Linked DNA regions of Arabidopsis thaliana. The protein of the gene in region 1 interacts with the protein of each later gene in a pairwise test. Each region holds a gene or a part of one and is shown on either strand. Other genes may lie near its edges.

What was found. The genes of interacting proteins can lie anywhere in the genome.
Region 2: the proteins of RHA2B (region 1) and NAC019 interact in a two-hybrid assay, tested with the Arabidopsis thaliana proteins (one study listed by BioGRID).

The regions. Positions count from the first base shown.
Region 1 is NC_003071.7:97,026-104,296, forward strand, and holds RHA2B (RING-H2 finger protein 2B), read left to right. Parts: upstream 1-3,458; 5' UTR 3,459-3,530; coding exon 3,531-4,121; 3' UTR 4,122-4,499; downstream 4,500-7,271. Other genes in the region: BAT1 (bidirectional amino acid transporter 1), read right to left, coding at 5,339-5,686, 5,763-5,892, 5,974-6,263, 6,337-6,518, 6,598-6,817, 6,901-6,919, 7,008-7,268. UniProt on the Arabidopsis thaliana protein: E3 ubiquitin-protein ligase involved in the positive regulation of abscisic acid (ABA) signaling and responses to salt and osmotic stresses during seed germination and early seedling development.
Region 2 is NC_003070.9:19,694,039-19,701,789, forward strand, and holds NAC019 (NAC domain containing protein 19), read right to left. Parts: upstream 4,445-7,751; 5' UTR 4,407-4,444; coding exon 4,226-4,406; intron 4,129-4,225; coding exon 3,860-4,128; intron 3,758-3,859; coding exon 3,254-3,757; 3' UTR 2,885-3,253; downstream 1-2,884. UniProt on the Arabidopsis thaliana protein: Transcription factors that bind specifically to the 5'-CATGTG-3' motif.

The sequences.
Region 1 (7,271 bases):
AGTTTCAGATAAACAATAAGAGCCCACGACAGCTTTGGTGTTCTTGGGTCTTTTTCTTTTTTTTTTTCCTTTTTATTAAGGCAACCATCCAATAAGTCCAAATATTGGTGTTACTCGTAACAGGCGAGGAAGGTGTAAACAAGAAGAGAGAAAATGCAAGTTCCGAGAAACGTTATATATATGCGACATGAGAAAGTGGCAACTTTTTCTTTCTTGTATCTTACACTACTTTTTTGTATTTTTAAAGTATCTTTGATTTGATAACAGTTTTCTAAAACTGTTGGCCACAATTTAAATGCATATTCATATGTATGTTCAAATTTACAGCAACTCAGTTTGACCCCACAAAAAAAGGGAAAAACAACAACAAAATTCAAGACTATATGACTAAATATGTTCAAGTGCTTCAATTATATATTAGGTACAAGAATATGAATATAATGCCAATCTTATCTTAATCAGAGTAGGAACTAGTAATTTTCATATTTTAAGACAAGTTTGAAAGTTGTTTTAATTAAACATGCGTAAAGTTCCATTCTCTGCTCTCAGATGAATGGCATATCGATCATAATTCACCTAGTACTTCTTCTAGAGTGTTCTACGCTGCCTCTACGTATTAGAATATAGTATATGTAAAAGGTGTTGGTGCAGATCTTTGATTAACACTTTGGTCAGTCACATATCTAATGATTTTTAAACGATAAACCCCAAAACGCGTCTTCATACAGTTCACATGCATATGTCACCCAGAAGAATTGACTCTCAGATCTTTCTAGGTGTTTGTGTTCACACTTCGCCACGCTCTCTCTGTTAGAAACGATTTAAATATACAAACAAAGCTAGTCAGTGTTTCCCATTCGAAAAAAGAGAAAAGACAAAAGAGAGTGTGTTATTTGTCTTGTAATGAAACCTATTGAGTATGGTTGACTGGTTGGTGCGTAGGGAGAAGCAGAAGGTGATAGGACCACGTTGTTGTTTATTTGGCAATTCTTTTACAAGCCCTTGGTCCTGTTTTCTCCATCTTCTCTACTTCATTTGTCATTTTCATTGTTTACTTATTAAATTTACATCCATGTTAACTATTTTCATTTAAACAACAACGTACGTGGACCTATCGACTGATCATCCCTTGGTCGACAAACAATGATGGATCGGAACTTGATTTGGTTTTCTTGAGTTATGTGAAAAAGCATCGCATTATCAATTTTAACAACTTTTCTATAGCTCTTAATTCTGTCTAGCTAATAGACCTATAGTTTCTAAAACAAATACTATAGTCTTGCAAGCCGCATGCTACCTAATGCAGTATATATTTGGATAATTTCAAATTGTCTTTATTATTTCCTCATATTTTTATTTAATTATTTAGATAATTTTTATTTATTGTTTTATGAATTTTCTAAAATTTTGGATTTATTATAATTAAGACTTTTGAACTTAAAATTGTATTCAGTTAATTGATTAATAAAATTAAGCTTTTACCTTTTCAGAGAAGAGTATTCTCTAATTCCTTGCTTTCGGTAGATCTTGAAAGATTTCAACGGTTATAAAAAGATGTAGGATTCGGTATTCGAAGAGAATCAACGAATTCCTTACGTTCTCTCGTTTCTGTTATTCTGAGGAATCAACAGATCCAAAAAATTCTAGTTTTCTGGTATTCCGAGGAATCAACGGATGTCTAGTTCTATCCATTAAAACTTCCGCTACTTCAGTTGGTATCAAAGCTAGAACTAGAGATTCGTTGATACACTTAACAAACAAACAAAAAAAACTTAAAATCAAAATTTGACACACACACCAAAATGAGTTACCTTTTACTCATTCATGTTCATACTATATAAAATATATTTTCGTCGAAACAATCACTCCTCCTAAAATATTTTAAATTTTTAATGCAAAAAATATTAGTTGTGTTTTGTTTATTTTATAATAAATGATTTAATCATATAAACAACGAGGATCGATAAGACACTCGCATGCTATTTTTACCAGGATTACATTAGAATGAGAGTCACAACCACATAATGAAGACGATCGTCTGCTAGCTATGTGACGAGAGATGGTAAGTGGTTTCAGATTTTATGATGTAAAGTGGAAGGAGTGGTCAAATAATTAGGTCAAAGAGAGTCGAGGTGGTTGTCACTGGTTGGCTATATCGATGACTAAACCACACACCTACACCTTCAATTTCTATTTTAATTATGTTTTCTGAATAACTTAATACTATCTTATATGATCGTTAGTAACAAATATTTTTTTAAAAAAAATTTATGTACATTCATAGGTAGCACGAAGTGAACAAATACTTGAATTTTCTTGCGTCAATATAGAACTAAGATCATACATACATGATACATAATGAATTTATGTTTATATTAGATATGCGTCACAAGGGAGACAAGAAGCGAAGCGAGGATCGTGCTAAAATCTTGGTCAAGTTCACAAATTATGAATTGCTTTATATATTAAACAATCTCTCACAAAGGATGGATAATTTAATTAGTTGGTTCCCTGTCAGTTGTTAATTAAGAATTAATCACAAACCGCCCACTTCCTTTTTATATTCCAAAAATGCTTCTCCAATGTTCTACACTTAAGTATATCATATAATTAAATGAAACTATGAATGAGTAAAATAATTGAAACATACTATTTAACTAGCTAGCTGGGGGATTTGTAAATAATATAACAAAGGTCGACAATTGATACTTTTTCCATGTTGGGAAATTCTGAAAACTGATCAATATATATGAGTAATCGACAAGAAAATAACTAAAACTTAGACTTTGAATGGTTATAGCGGTTTAAGAAGACAAAAATGTCTATATACCAAATCGTGTTTTATTTACTATTTATAAATTATATTATGTAATAGTGCGGATTCCAAAAAATAAAAAATAAAAATTGTTGTGGACTAACTACGAACCGTCTTTAAATTAAATTTGCAGCGGATTGTTGTTCGATCTAAAATTAGTATGGACTGAACCGCTAACGGATTAATCTGCACTAACCACAACATCCATTCAAAGACTTAATTATTTACTATCATGTTATATTTGTGGGGCATTAATAAGTGAAACATATTAATAGTAATTAAAATGAATGATATGAGCCATGATCTTAGGACTAAACATTGGGCATGCTAAATTGCTAATAATATCTATCACAAGAAGAAGCGCGACACAAAGGAATAGATGCGATCATGAAAGATCATTATGATGATTCAGTGTTTTTCTTCTTTAGGTTCTAAAGCTCAATGATTGAAGGCCTCTGTAAAATTTTGTTTGGTCTTTGGAGATAGAAAGGAGCTTAGATAGAGATATGAAATCAGCATCCAACAACATTTTAGAGTCATTCAATTTTGACTTTAGTATCTCTTTCCAATAAACCGAAAATGTGGGTGAGAATAAAGAAAAGTGAAATGTTTTGGGTCATATTCATCATAAAATGCAAATAGCGGGGCGAAAAGTATGAAGATGGGAAAAAACGAAAAGGACTGAAAGTGAAAGGGCTTAACCAAAAGCAAAATAATGGGTCCCACAACACGTGGCCTGTGTCATTTCTTCTTCTTCTCCATCCATATAAAGAAGAAGAAAGAGATGAGATGCAAGGTAGTATATGCAGCAAGAACAACAACAAGAACCAAAGTAACAAAAACAATCTCTAAAACCATATCAATGGGACTACAAGGTCAGCTCTCCGACGTGTCATCAGATTCGATCCCACTGATGCTACTGGCTCTCCTCGCAACTTTCTTCAGACACGTCCGGTCTCTTCTCCTCTTCCCTTCTTCTGCCCCCGTTGTTGTTGTTACTTCAAACCTCAGCGTCCTCGCCGACCAGCTCAACCTAAATCGCCTCTTCTCGTACCGCTACTCCGACAACGCAGCCTCTGACTGCATCGTGTGTCTGTCTAAACTCAAGACCGGAGAAGAAGTGAGGAAGCTAGATTGCAGACACGTCTTCCATAAGCAGTGTTTGGAAGGCTGGCTTCAACATCTCAACTTCAATTGCCCGCTCTGTAGATCTCCATTGCTACCTCATCATCATCAGGGACATGGCAGTGATGCGTCGATCTCAGCCTTCCCTCTTCGCTCTACCTCTACTGCATCATCTCATTGATTTTTATGTGAAGAAAGAAGAAAGAAGAAAGCAAGAGAGAAGAAGATGGAGGGAGGATGCTTTTTTATTTATCTTCCTTCTCCTCTTTCCTTTTTAGGAGAAGATTCTTATTTCTTACTACAGAAGATTGATTCTTCTTATATATCTATATATATAACCTTCTATATTTAGCTATGTTTTTGAGGAATCTCAGATCGGAAGAGAGGTCCTTTTGTTTTTCAGATTTCCACTCTGTAAATTCTTAGTATGAAAAGAATCAAATTAAGCTTCATGTATTCCTCCTTGGCTGGTAAATCTTTTTGTAGTATATTTGACAAAGCCTACTACTATTTAATTTTGCATTCTAGACAATCTTGAAGCTTTACACTATGGACTTTGTTCTGGTTTCCACACTTTGCATTATTGCTATTGACGTTAAAAGGTAGGTAACACTATTTATTGTGTCGAAATTCTACAAGAAAATATCATAGCACCTCATTTGGTAACAAACTACACTTGTATTAATTTTGTTATTGTAAAGACTGTCTGTGTCTAAAGTTTATCAAAAATATCCTATATGTAGTAATGTGAGTTGCAAATTCGTCCAATCTTTTAGTAACTAGTTGTAGCTCCGCTAAATAGTTTTCGTTTTCTATAGATCCGCCCATGATAACACCCACATTTCAACTTGAATAAAGTTGTACTAAGCGATCAATACAGTATTACAAGGTGTTTCTGAACATATGCTCAACTAACAGTTAACACATTATAATACAATATGAATAAGACTCAGTTAATCATTTAACATTTCTATTTGCGAATAAGAATATGCTCTAGTTTCGTAAACAATGTGTACCATATCCTTTTGAGGATTGAGGTCCGTTTTGGCAGTATTCCTAACGAATTCTAAAATATTTAGCTAATTCAGATAATCAAAATGCTGGAATAGCTCAGTTGGTTAGAGCGTGTGGCTGTTAACCACAAGGTCGGAGGTTCGACCCCTCCTTCTAGCGATTACTTTTTTTTTTTTAACTCGTCACGTAGTTTCCTTAAATGGGCTTCGTCGAGGCCCATGCCAACACTTTGTGTTGATTATTATTCCATTCGCTTTAAAGTTTAAAGTTGTGGCGATGAAATAAAAATGTGACAGATGTGTTGTTGCTTGTTGAATGTATAAAAGGGTAAATATCAGCTAGCTAACAATGGCTTTACTATAAATCAACCCCTGAAACGTTGTTTCAGCTAAGAATGTTGGAGATGGGACCCGTAAACCAGTGGCGGGCACTGAAAAGCCAATATGAGAGGGTTATGGCCACCAAACCAGCAACTGCCACCGGAGTGTAGTTGAGTGTCTCTGCTGTTATGGGATATGCCACGGGTAAGGAGAAGAGGACTGATATGGTTACAACCCACAGGACTGCCACCCACCCGACTACCATTCCGTATTTTCCCAGGCTGAATGGTCCAGGTACGAAGGTGTTGCGCGCAAGCGTCACTCTCAATATAATCGGGATTGCGTATGCTATGTACAGTCCAATCGTTGCGATCGACACCATTGCTTGGAACGCCACTATGCTCCCCAGTGACTGCCAGTTTCATCTCATCAATCAGCAATCCCAACACACAAAAGAGAGATACACAGAAAGAGAGAAGGGGACTTACGGTGAGGGCCATACAAAATGATATGAGAGCAGAGAGCCAAACCGCATTAATGGGGACCTCTCTGCTGTTCACTTTGTGCCATAACGGCGACATTGGCATCGCTCCATCTCTCGAAAACGCATACGCCATCCTGATTAACCAAACACACATATGATCAAGTCCTAAATGCAGACAGAATATGTTTTAACCAAACATGAATGTATATATATACCTGGAATTGCTGGTGACAGAGCTCATGCCACAGAAAAACACAGCAACCGCAACAACGCCTAAGCACACGATTCCACCAGTACCGCTCCCAAACCTATTCTTGAAAGCTAAGTAGAAGATCTCAGCAATGGCATACCCACCAGAGTTGTTGGTCTCACTCAGAAGAGAAGGTATGTCTGTGACGGCATAGCTTATGCCCAATATATAACCCCATCCAAACAGAATTGATATACCAATTGCACTGATTATTCCTCTGGGCCCGTTCTTGTCTGCGTCGACTGTCTCTTCTGTCTGCAAATTTACTTTTTGTTCAATCCTCAAGAAAAGCTAATCAATCATTAAAAACAGAATCCATTACACTCACCATGTGGGCAGAGGCATCATACCCTGTAATGGTGTACTGGCTCATGAGGAGTCCCAAAACGAATATGTAAGCGTAGCTGGTGATGCCAAGGCCATTATCAGTGTTGAAATTGGTAAAGACAAACTTAGTGGTTGCTCTTTCCGTAGAAACCAAAGGAATCAGAATCATGAGCACCAAAACCCCTGAATATAAGAGATGCTTGATTGATGATTGTTGTTGAGACATGACATGAAACACAGAGACAAAAGAGAGATTGGGTACCGAGGAGATTCCAAAGAGCAGCAAGCTGTCCAATGAAAGACAAGACGGAGATGGGGAGGCTGTTGAGAAGAGCGTGGATGAAGAGGATCCCACCATGGATACCAATCACAACAAAGTCTGATCCTTTATAACCGCCGCCGTTTCTACCGCCGGTGGAGAGAAGGACGATCACCTGAATCAACTGTGCCAGAGAGAAGTCAACGCTGGCCGTCACTGCCCACTGCAAACACACCACAACCTTACTTTTAGCCCCAATGAGAGATATATCTAATGAAAACAAGTCTGCTTGAATGAATGTTGCACCTGACCAACGATGTTGAACCTGAAAAAAGATTTGTGAAAATGAGTCAGAGAGAGACGCTCTCTTGCTTCCAATTCCAAATTAAGAAAAAGGTGAGAGAAGGGAGTACCAGCCAGTCATCCAAGAGGCAAGAGGAGCCCAACGAGGGCCAGCGAGCATAGCACTCCAGTAGTAGAGACCACCGGAGGTAGGGTAAGAGGAGCAGATCTCGGCCATAGATAACCCAACGCACATTGTGAAGGAGCCGGCCAGGAACCATCCGTAGACCAGAGTGACAGTGCCGCCGAATCTTAAGCCGGTGTTGTAGGTGGTGGTGATACCAGTGAGCACCGATATGATGGAGAAGGAGATGGCGAAATTGGAGAAGACCCTG
Region 2 (7,751 bases), on another chromosome or scaffold:
TCAGTGCTCTAATCGGAGAATGTGGTCAAGTATAACTTTTTGTACCTTAGTTGCTTTGAACATGTGATGATTTACTTTGATTCCATAATTAGAAAGTCACTAGCTATATGTCACATAATCGATCAATATATAAAATAATTTAAGACTTTATCTAACGTGACTCATCAAATCAATGCCGTCGTATTACTGGAAAACATATTTTATGTCAATTATTTCACAAAGGATGTTGTTATTGTGTACTTTTTATATCTTTAATTGTTAAGTTATTGTATATGTTCTTTTCAAATATGTTTGATTTTTATTTTTATTTTGTATTTATGATTACAGCTATTTTCTTGACAAAATTGATATATGCAAACGTCAACTATATATATTGTTAAAAACGTCAACTTATATATTGTGTACTTAAGAAGGCCATAGTCTATGACTTATTGCAGATTGCAGTTTTTTATTATATAAGAGATGACCCCTTTTTTTAAATAAAAAAAAAAGAGTTAAGAGAAATCATAAATGGAGTTTATGACAAGGAGTATACAATTTTTTTTATTTCCATCGTAACAGATTAGTAGAGCTCTTTCTGCATGACCCTTTTTAGGCTTTTTGCGCCTAATCTCGCTAACCAATTTTATAACAATACTTATCGTTTTTTATCCATGTGAACAAAAAAAAAATTATAGTGTTTCTCCAAGTCATATTCTGATTTTCTGACGTCTATTATAGTACAATGACGTAGATTAATTTCCGTAGAAATTATGGAATAATTGTTTGACAAAAATAAATAAATTGTGGAATAATTTAACTTAGAATTTTATTAAGAAAAATGTAACAGAAAAAAATAAACATTTAAAAAGTGTGTCCTCGAAATGAATTCTACCAGAAAACAATTAATTTTTTAACACGTACATTGTGACGTCATGCGTATGTATTGAGTATAGCAAGTTACAGTAATTATGTCCAGAGTTAATTAAATATTTTCCGTAAAAAAAAAAAGGCTGGATTCTTGTAGTCGTTTGCTTTTACTAATCGAGCCTTGTTTTAAAGCTTGTTTAGGAAAGTGATTAAGGACCGCTCCTTAATTATCTGCTTTGTCATCTATAATTAGTGAGCTTTTCGAACCACTCGTAGATCACGCATGTGCAAATACCACCAAACAAATAAAAATTTATGTCTCGGTTAAATGTATTTTTATTCTAATCACAAATGTCATTGTTATGATTTAAGATATTGCGTTTGCTTTGAAGTCTAGCCACAATTTATTAATAAATACAAACCCCTCGTGTATTTAAAGCCAAAACCCTTTTTGTGTGTGTTGTTGTTGTTAAATTTATATTTGGAAACATTTTTGTTTGTATTTATGCTTCCTCCATTTCAAATTATAAATCGTGTAAGGATTATTCTTCAGTTTAAAATTTTAGCTAGACATGAAGTCTAGAAAAGAATATTAAGATTATATCTAATTTTTATAGCTAGGTATAACGGAAATTTATATAATATAACCAATAACACATTACAATTCTATAATTATAAAACATGATCCGCTTAAAACCCGACACAAGTTCTATATTTGATTAGTAAATTCACAAAAACTGTATGTACTGTCTTTTTTTATTTGGCGACAATATGTGACTACGAACCTCCACGTTTCTGTATTGAATGTCTTTTTATTCAAATTTATAACTCTTAACCTTAGTTAGATGATTTTTTTTTTAAAGAATGCAATTATATATTCCTTCTTCTGAGTTACACCTTAATTAGAGGTTTTTTTGAGTAATGACCAAATAGATGGAAAATTAATATTTGGGCATTTGGCCCATGGGCCAATCAATACACTAGTTTGCTATTGGAATTTTACATTCCACAAATCTGAGTATCTAAATTTTTAATGGAACTTGTAAATACAAAATAAATACAATTGTTGTGTGTTTTTAATTATGATGCATGTATGTCATGTTATTCGACTAATAGAGAACGAACCAAGTGAAGGTCATGTAGATGTTTGTAAAAAAATCCGTTCATTCGACCATTTTCCGGGTGTCGTTTACCTCTCACATCAACAAAATCAACAAGGTCTAAGGAAAGACAAATATGAGTTTCTCCTCCCGAAGATTTCCCACACTCAAATAATGATATTATCAGTATGAGTGCATGACTCGACGGAAGAAGACTAGTTTATTAGAGGAGAAAAAAACAGAGATAATTAATTTTTGGGCTTTCGTCAAGACGATCCACTTTGTTATTTGGTAAATATCAGAAAATAGACATATCTCAAAGGATGGTCAAAGCTTCTGAAAAGCAGTAATGGTCATGGAGGATACAGAAAAAGGAAGGAGATAGAATTATATTGTATGATCAGCGAACCACATATATTCAGTAACAATGTGGCTAATGTGTACTAGAGATTGTGTTAACGCGCACTCTAAATCAAAATAAGAACATCTCGAATAGTTTAAAACCCTTTTTGAGTATTCTCATCCTCTTTTGAACTAAATGGTTATTTTTGGTACTTTCAATTCTTTATTTCGTTATTTTAATGTTTTGAAAACTCTTTATTAGAGATGTTCTTAAACTTTTACATGATTCATGTCAGAAATTAAATTTAAACTATTAGGTCGGATTTTCCTAGGTACAGTTAAAAAATCGAGTATTCCGTGTTTTACTCTTATCATTCATACCCTAATTGCAAACGCATTTAGTCGACCCACAATAAACATGTGTTTGAAACTTGTACGGTATAAACTGTTTCTCTACAATCTCTTGTCAAGATGGTCAAACAAGCAAGCCCACGTTACACACCTAAGTTCAGCTAACCCAACGCTCCTTTTTCAAATACAGTATATACAGTAAGTCTCTCAATTTGTGGTGTGTTACTATATATTCGTAAACAGAAAAGATTTGTATGTAGGTTTATGATTACATAACGTATGCTTATATTAAAAATGCATGAGATAGTTAAATATATTCTTTTGGATAGCTCAAACAATTAAACTTACATGTATAGCTAGCCACAACTAAACAATATATCAATATGCAATTTCAATCCACTAAATTTATACCAATACAAAGATAACCAAACAGCAACAAAATAAAGTTACGAAATCTATTCGTCAAATTTTCTATGCATGAAAGATTACAAATCTACATCTAAATCTATGAGTCTCCCTCTTAACCCAAAAGAATTGAAATTCAAATACATATAAGATTTGCCACGGGACAAAAATTAACGACTTATTTTTATTGCGTCAGCATTTCATCATCACATAAACCCAAACCCACCAACTTGCCCCGAATACCCAAACGAGTCAACACCATAACCCTTTTGAGCTAACTCGCCCGAGTTATTAAACCCGTGACTGCTCTCGACTTCCTCCTCCGTCTTCAGGTAGCCACAGTTGTACTCGAGATTAGGAACAACATGACTCATTCCGAGTTCCGGTACCGAGTTATTATGCTCAACATTACCGGCAAAACTAGCCCAATCGAAGTTAGAAGTATCCGCAAGACCGTGGAACCCGGTTTTCTGTTCGGTTAAGTCCGGTCTGAGCGACGAGATGCGGTTTGGGTTAGAAAACTGGAAATTTCTGTTGTCGATCTCTTGATGAAACGAATCAAGAACGTCTTCAAAGTGAGAAGAAGACGACGTCGTGGACGAAGTACCGTTGTTGCTGAATTCTCTAGCATTCGCGATTCCATTATCGTAAACTTGTTTTTGTGCACTTGATTGCTTCTTGTATATTCGACATAGAACCCAATCATCCAACTAAAGAAAATTAACAAGAATATTAATTATAGGTCATTCAAAACACTACAAGAAGAAAATATAAGATATAGTATTTATTAATGTTTAGATTTTATTTGTTACCTTAGTGCTTCCGTTTCTACGAGAAGGTTCAATGAGACGATACTCATGCATGATCCAATTGGTTTTAGTACCTTTAGGAGCTTTTCCGATGTAAAACACCAAAGCTTTTTTAATACCAACTCTTTGTCCTTCCGTCGAGATTATTTTATCCGTACCCGTAGCTTTCCAATAACCCGATCCGGCAACCCGGTTAGGTCTTGACCCGTTTGGATATTTTCTATCCCTAGGACTAAAAAAATACCATTCTTTTTCTCCAAATAATGCTTTATCTATAAATCACAAAAGAAGAAAAACCAAGAAAATTATGAATCTCTGTTAAGAAAAATAAACATTTTTTGAGAAGGGTTTCAATTAGTATATACTTACTTGGTAAAACCCATGGATCGAATTTGTAAAGATCTATTTCGGCGATGAGCTGAAGAGAGAAATCGTAACCAGCTGCTTTTCTACAGAGATATTGAACCATAAGCTCTTCATCGGTCGGGTAAAATCGGAAACCCGGTGGTAAACTCAATTGCGTTAACGGGTCAGTTTCTTGGATACCCATATTTTTTTCTTTCTTTCTTATTTTTGACAATAATGTTTGGGTCTCGTGCTACTTATATATGGACGCAGTGTATAGGTGAATCCACCGCCGCTGATTAACGTGTGTACTGAATATGGGACCCATTTTTGTGTTTATCTATAAACACTTTTGAATTCTGACACGTGTGTCAGTTAGATCGTCGTGATTTATGCAATCCCTTGAGTTCATTGAACCTACATGAGTAGATTTAGCTCTTCCTCGTACTATTTTTTTTAAATGGTTTTTTTTATTAACATTTGTTTATTCATCTATTTATCAATAATGTTCCGCTAAATTTAAAAGTATTTTCCAATCAAAATAAGATTCAAATGAATGTTTGGAAATTTGCTGCTTAGACATTTGGAGTTCACATATAATATTTAATTTAATCGAGATTTTTTTCCTAGGATTGTCTATTTAATTATTTAAGTAATGTAAAACAAATTAAAAAAATGATTTTCGATTTTCCTTTTAGGATTTTTTTTTTTTTTTTAAGGATATTTTTTATTTACAAAGTTTATTGTCAATATAGTAACCAGACGACATCTAAACCACAAAACATTATTGACTTTATCTTGGTCGATTTAATCAACATTGAACCGTCCATGTACTTTTTGGTGGTCTATATATTCGTGTAGGGGACTGAATTTCAGAATAAAGGAACAATTATTTGGCCAAATTTGTACCCAAAAAAAAAAAGATTTTTTGGCGAAATGATTGAACAGTAACCATGAAATATGTGAACTGGTAAAGGAAGAGATATTTTATTTCACGTGTTTTTTGTTGACGGGTTTTCTGAAATGTATATGTGCCAAATGTTGTAATAAGAAGGACACGCGTAATGTTGTGGTAGGGTAAGGGAAAGAGCTTCGAAAAAAGCGAAGTTGAAAGGACAAAGGAACTGTTCAATGTATCTTAGGTTACAACATGGAAAGCGTTTTCCATACGGACAAAACTACATCATGACGACACGTGTCCACGTGTCTATCGTAGAAGTTAGGCGCAATTTGTCATTTGTCAAAAAGACGTTATAACGATGGGAGAAGAGAAAAAACACGAGTTGATGTTGACTAAAGATTTTTTCAATTTATTTTTGTTTTCAGAAACATTAACAAACACAACTCGTAGTAGCTGCTTCAAAGCTTCATAGTATCTTTTTTAAAAAAAATATAGGGTAAAAAACTTCATAGTTTCTTTTTTTTTTTTGTGAAAAAAAAACTTCATAGTTTCATCATTTAGTTCCATGGTTTTTAAAAGATAGAACCATATATAATGGTCGCAATTTTTGTTTAATTTAGAAATTGGGTGTTATAGTATAAAAATCCATATTGTTCGCTCGGAATATGCTGTTTTGAGTTGGAAAGTGAAGTATATAATTGACTAATTGAGCATGTTTAGAACACCTAAATTCCACTTATAACCATTAGATCACATAGATACCACGATTTGGATAAAATCCTTGTTGGATAATGTATAAATTAATATTTTTATCTACATTTTTAGTGTCGGTTTCACCAATATGTCTAACTAATTTAAGGACTTAGCAAAATTATTTGTTGAGTTTTATGTAAATCCACCATAGATAAAACATCTTAACCGAAAAATAAGTAATCCACATCAAGTTTGCATATAATATAATCGAAATTGAAATTAGCTATAGACCCTATACATATATTCAGATTTTGTTTTATAAGATCACGTATTGATGTAATTTTTTTTGTCTGTATTTATCCATTGATTAGTTTTCATGCAGTTGTGGTATTTCATAAATGAAAAAAATTTACGAATGAATTTTTCTTGAAATTTATATTATAATATAATCTAACCCTAGAACATTTTACTGAAATCATTAAATTTTTTATGAAAGTTTAAGCATACATATATATGACATTTTTTTTTTTGATGAAGTGAAGTGAGGAAGAGGACATCATTTCAAAAGATTAGACGGAGTCACAGAGACGAGATATCAAATATATCACTATATTATGATCGTTATCTAATTCTATAGTGGAACTTAAAGATTTAGGGTTTCTTTCACTCAATAGTTTTCGTGCTAACAGCCATTTGATGCTACTTTTCTATATTTTGTTTTACCTCTATCTCTCATTTTAAATCAATGATTTATATTTTATCATTTAATCAAATGACAACGAATGGGTAGTCAAAGATTGGTTTTTAATTTGCCTTATCTATAACATTTTCGCTATCCTTTGTTTTGTTTTTCTCCAGTTAATAATTTCTTGGAATTTGAACAAAGTACTTTTGTTTTTACACGTGTGTGTATCCGAAAGTTTAGGTTATCTTACTCGATGACATATATTTGTTAAATGTATTCGTATTTTTTTTTCTTTTATTATTTAAAACTGATCCAGAATTTTTTTCCGTAACATTTAAAATTATCAGCTGAAATTTAAATCCACCATGGTACAAAAAAGTTTACAGAATCTGATTTAGTTAATAAACAAATTAAGCAGAGTTTTGAAAGATAACTTACTTTGGATTGGCTTGACTACTCTCTAGCATTAGTTAGAAAATATTTTAAACTCGAAACAAATAATATAGTGGTCCTTCGAAAAAAAATCTCGTCTCAAAACACTAAAGTACGTTTCTATCAAAGAACTAATATGACTGGTGACTACGTTTATCAGTAAGTAGATGCTAAAAAATTTTAGTTTATTTTTAAATAATAGAAAGTTAAACATTACTTGATAATAATAGTTGAAGACTATTCTCGGAACTTAAAACAAAGAAAAAAGTGAGTGGGATATTCTGGTAATCACTTCCTTAGGAAATGTATCACCAGCTTCTATTTAAAGGTGTGAATGTGAACTTTAAAAAAATATCAAATTCGGTGGAACTGTTCGATTTGATTTGTGTTGAGTTGGTTTTTTTGACTCCCCATACTGCTTGAAGAACAATGTTAAATATGATGGGTTTTTTTTTAAGCCCAAACCCACTTTAGACACATTAAATTTTCACAAGTGAGACTAGATATCGACGCAAAAATACGTTTGCCAACCCCCACAATACAAGCTCTTTTTCTTTTTAAGCCCACGAAACAAGCTCTTGACATTAACACTCATCATTTACTATTTTACTCGTTGAGAATATATGGATATCATAATGTATTTGTTTAGGGTCATCTCAAACTATGTTTAGATTTTGTTTAAAAGTTGTATTGGACATATGTTTAATGTGGACAGTGTTTTTATTTATTTAATATAGTTATAAGTTATAACCATTAATTATTTATTTATGTGTATATTTAAACTTTATTATATAAAATATAGGTATTTCAATAGGAACCATGTTTGACTATTCAAATTA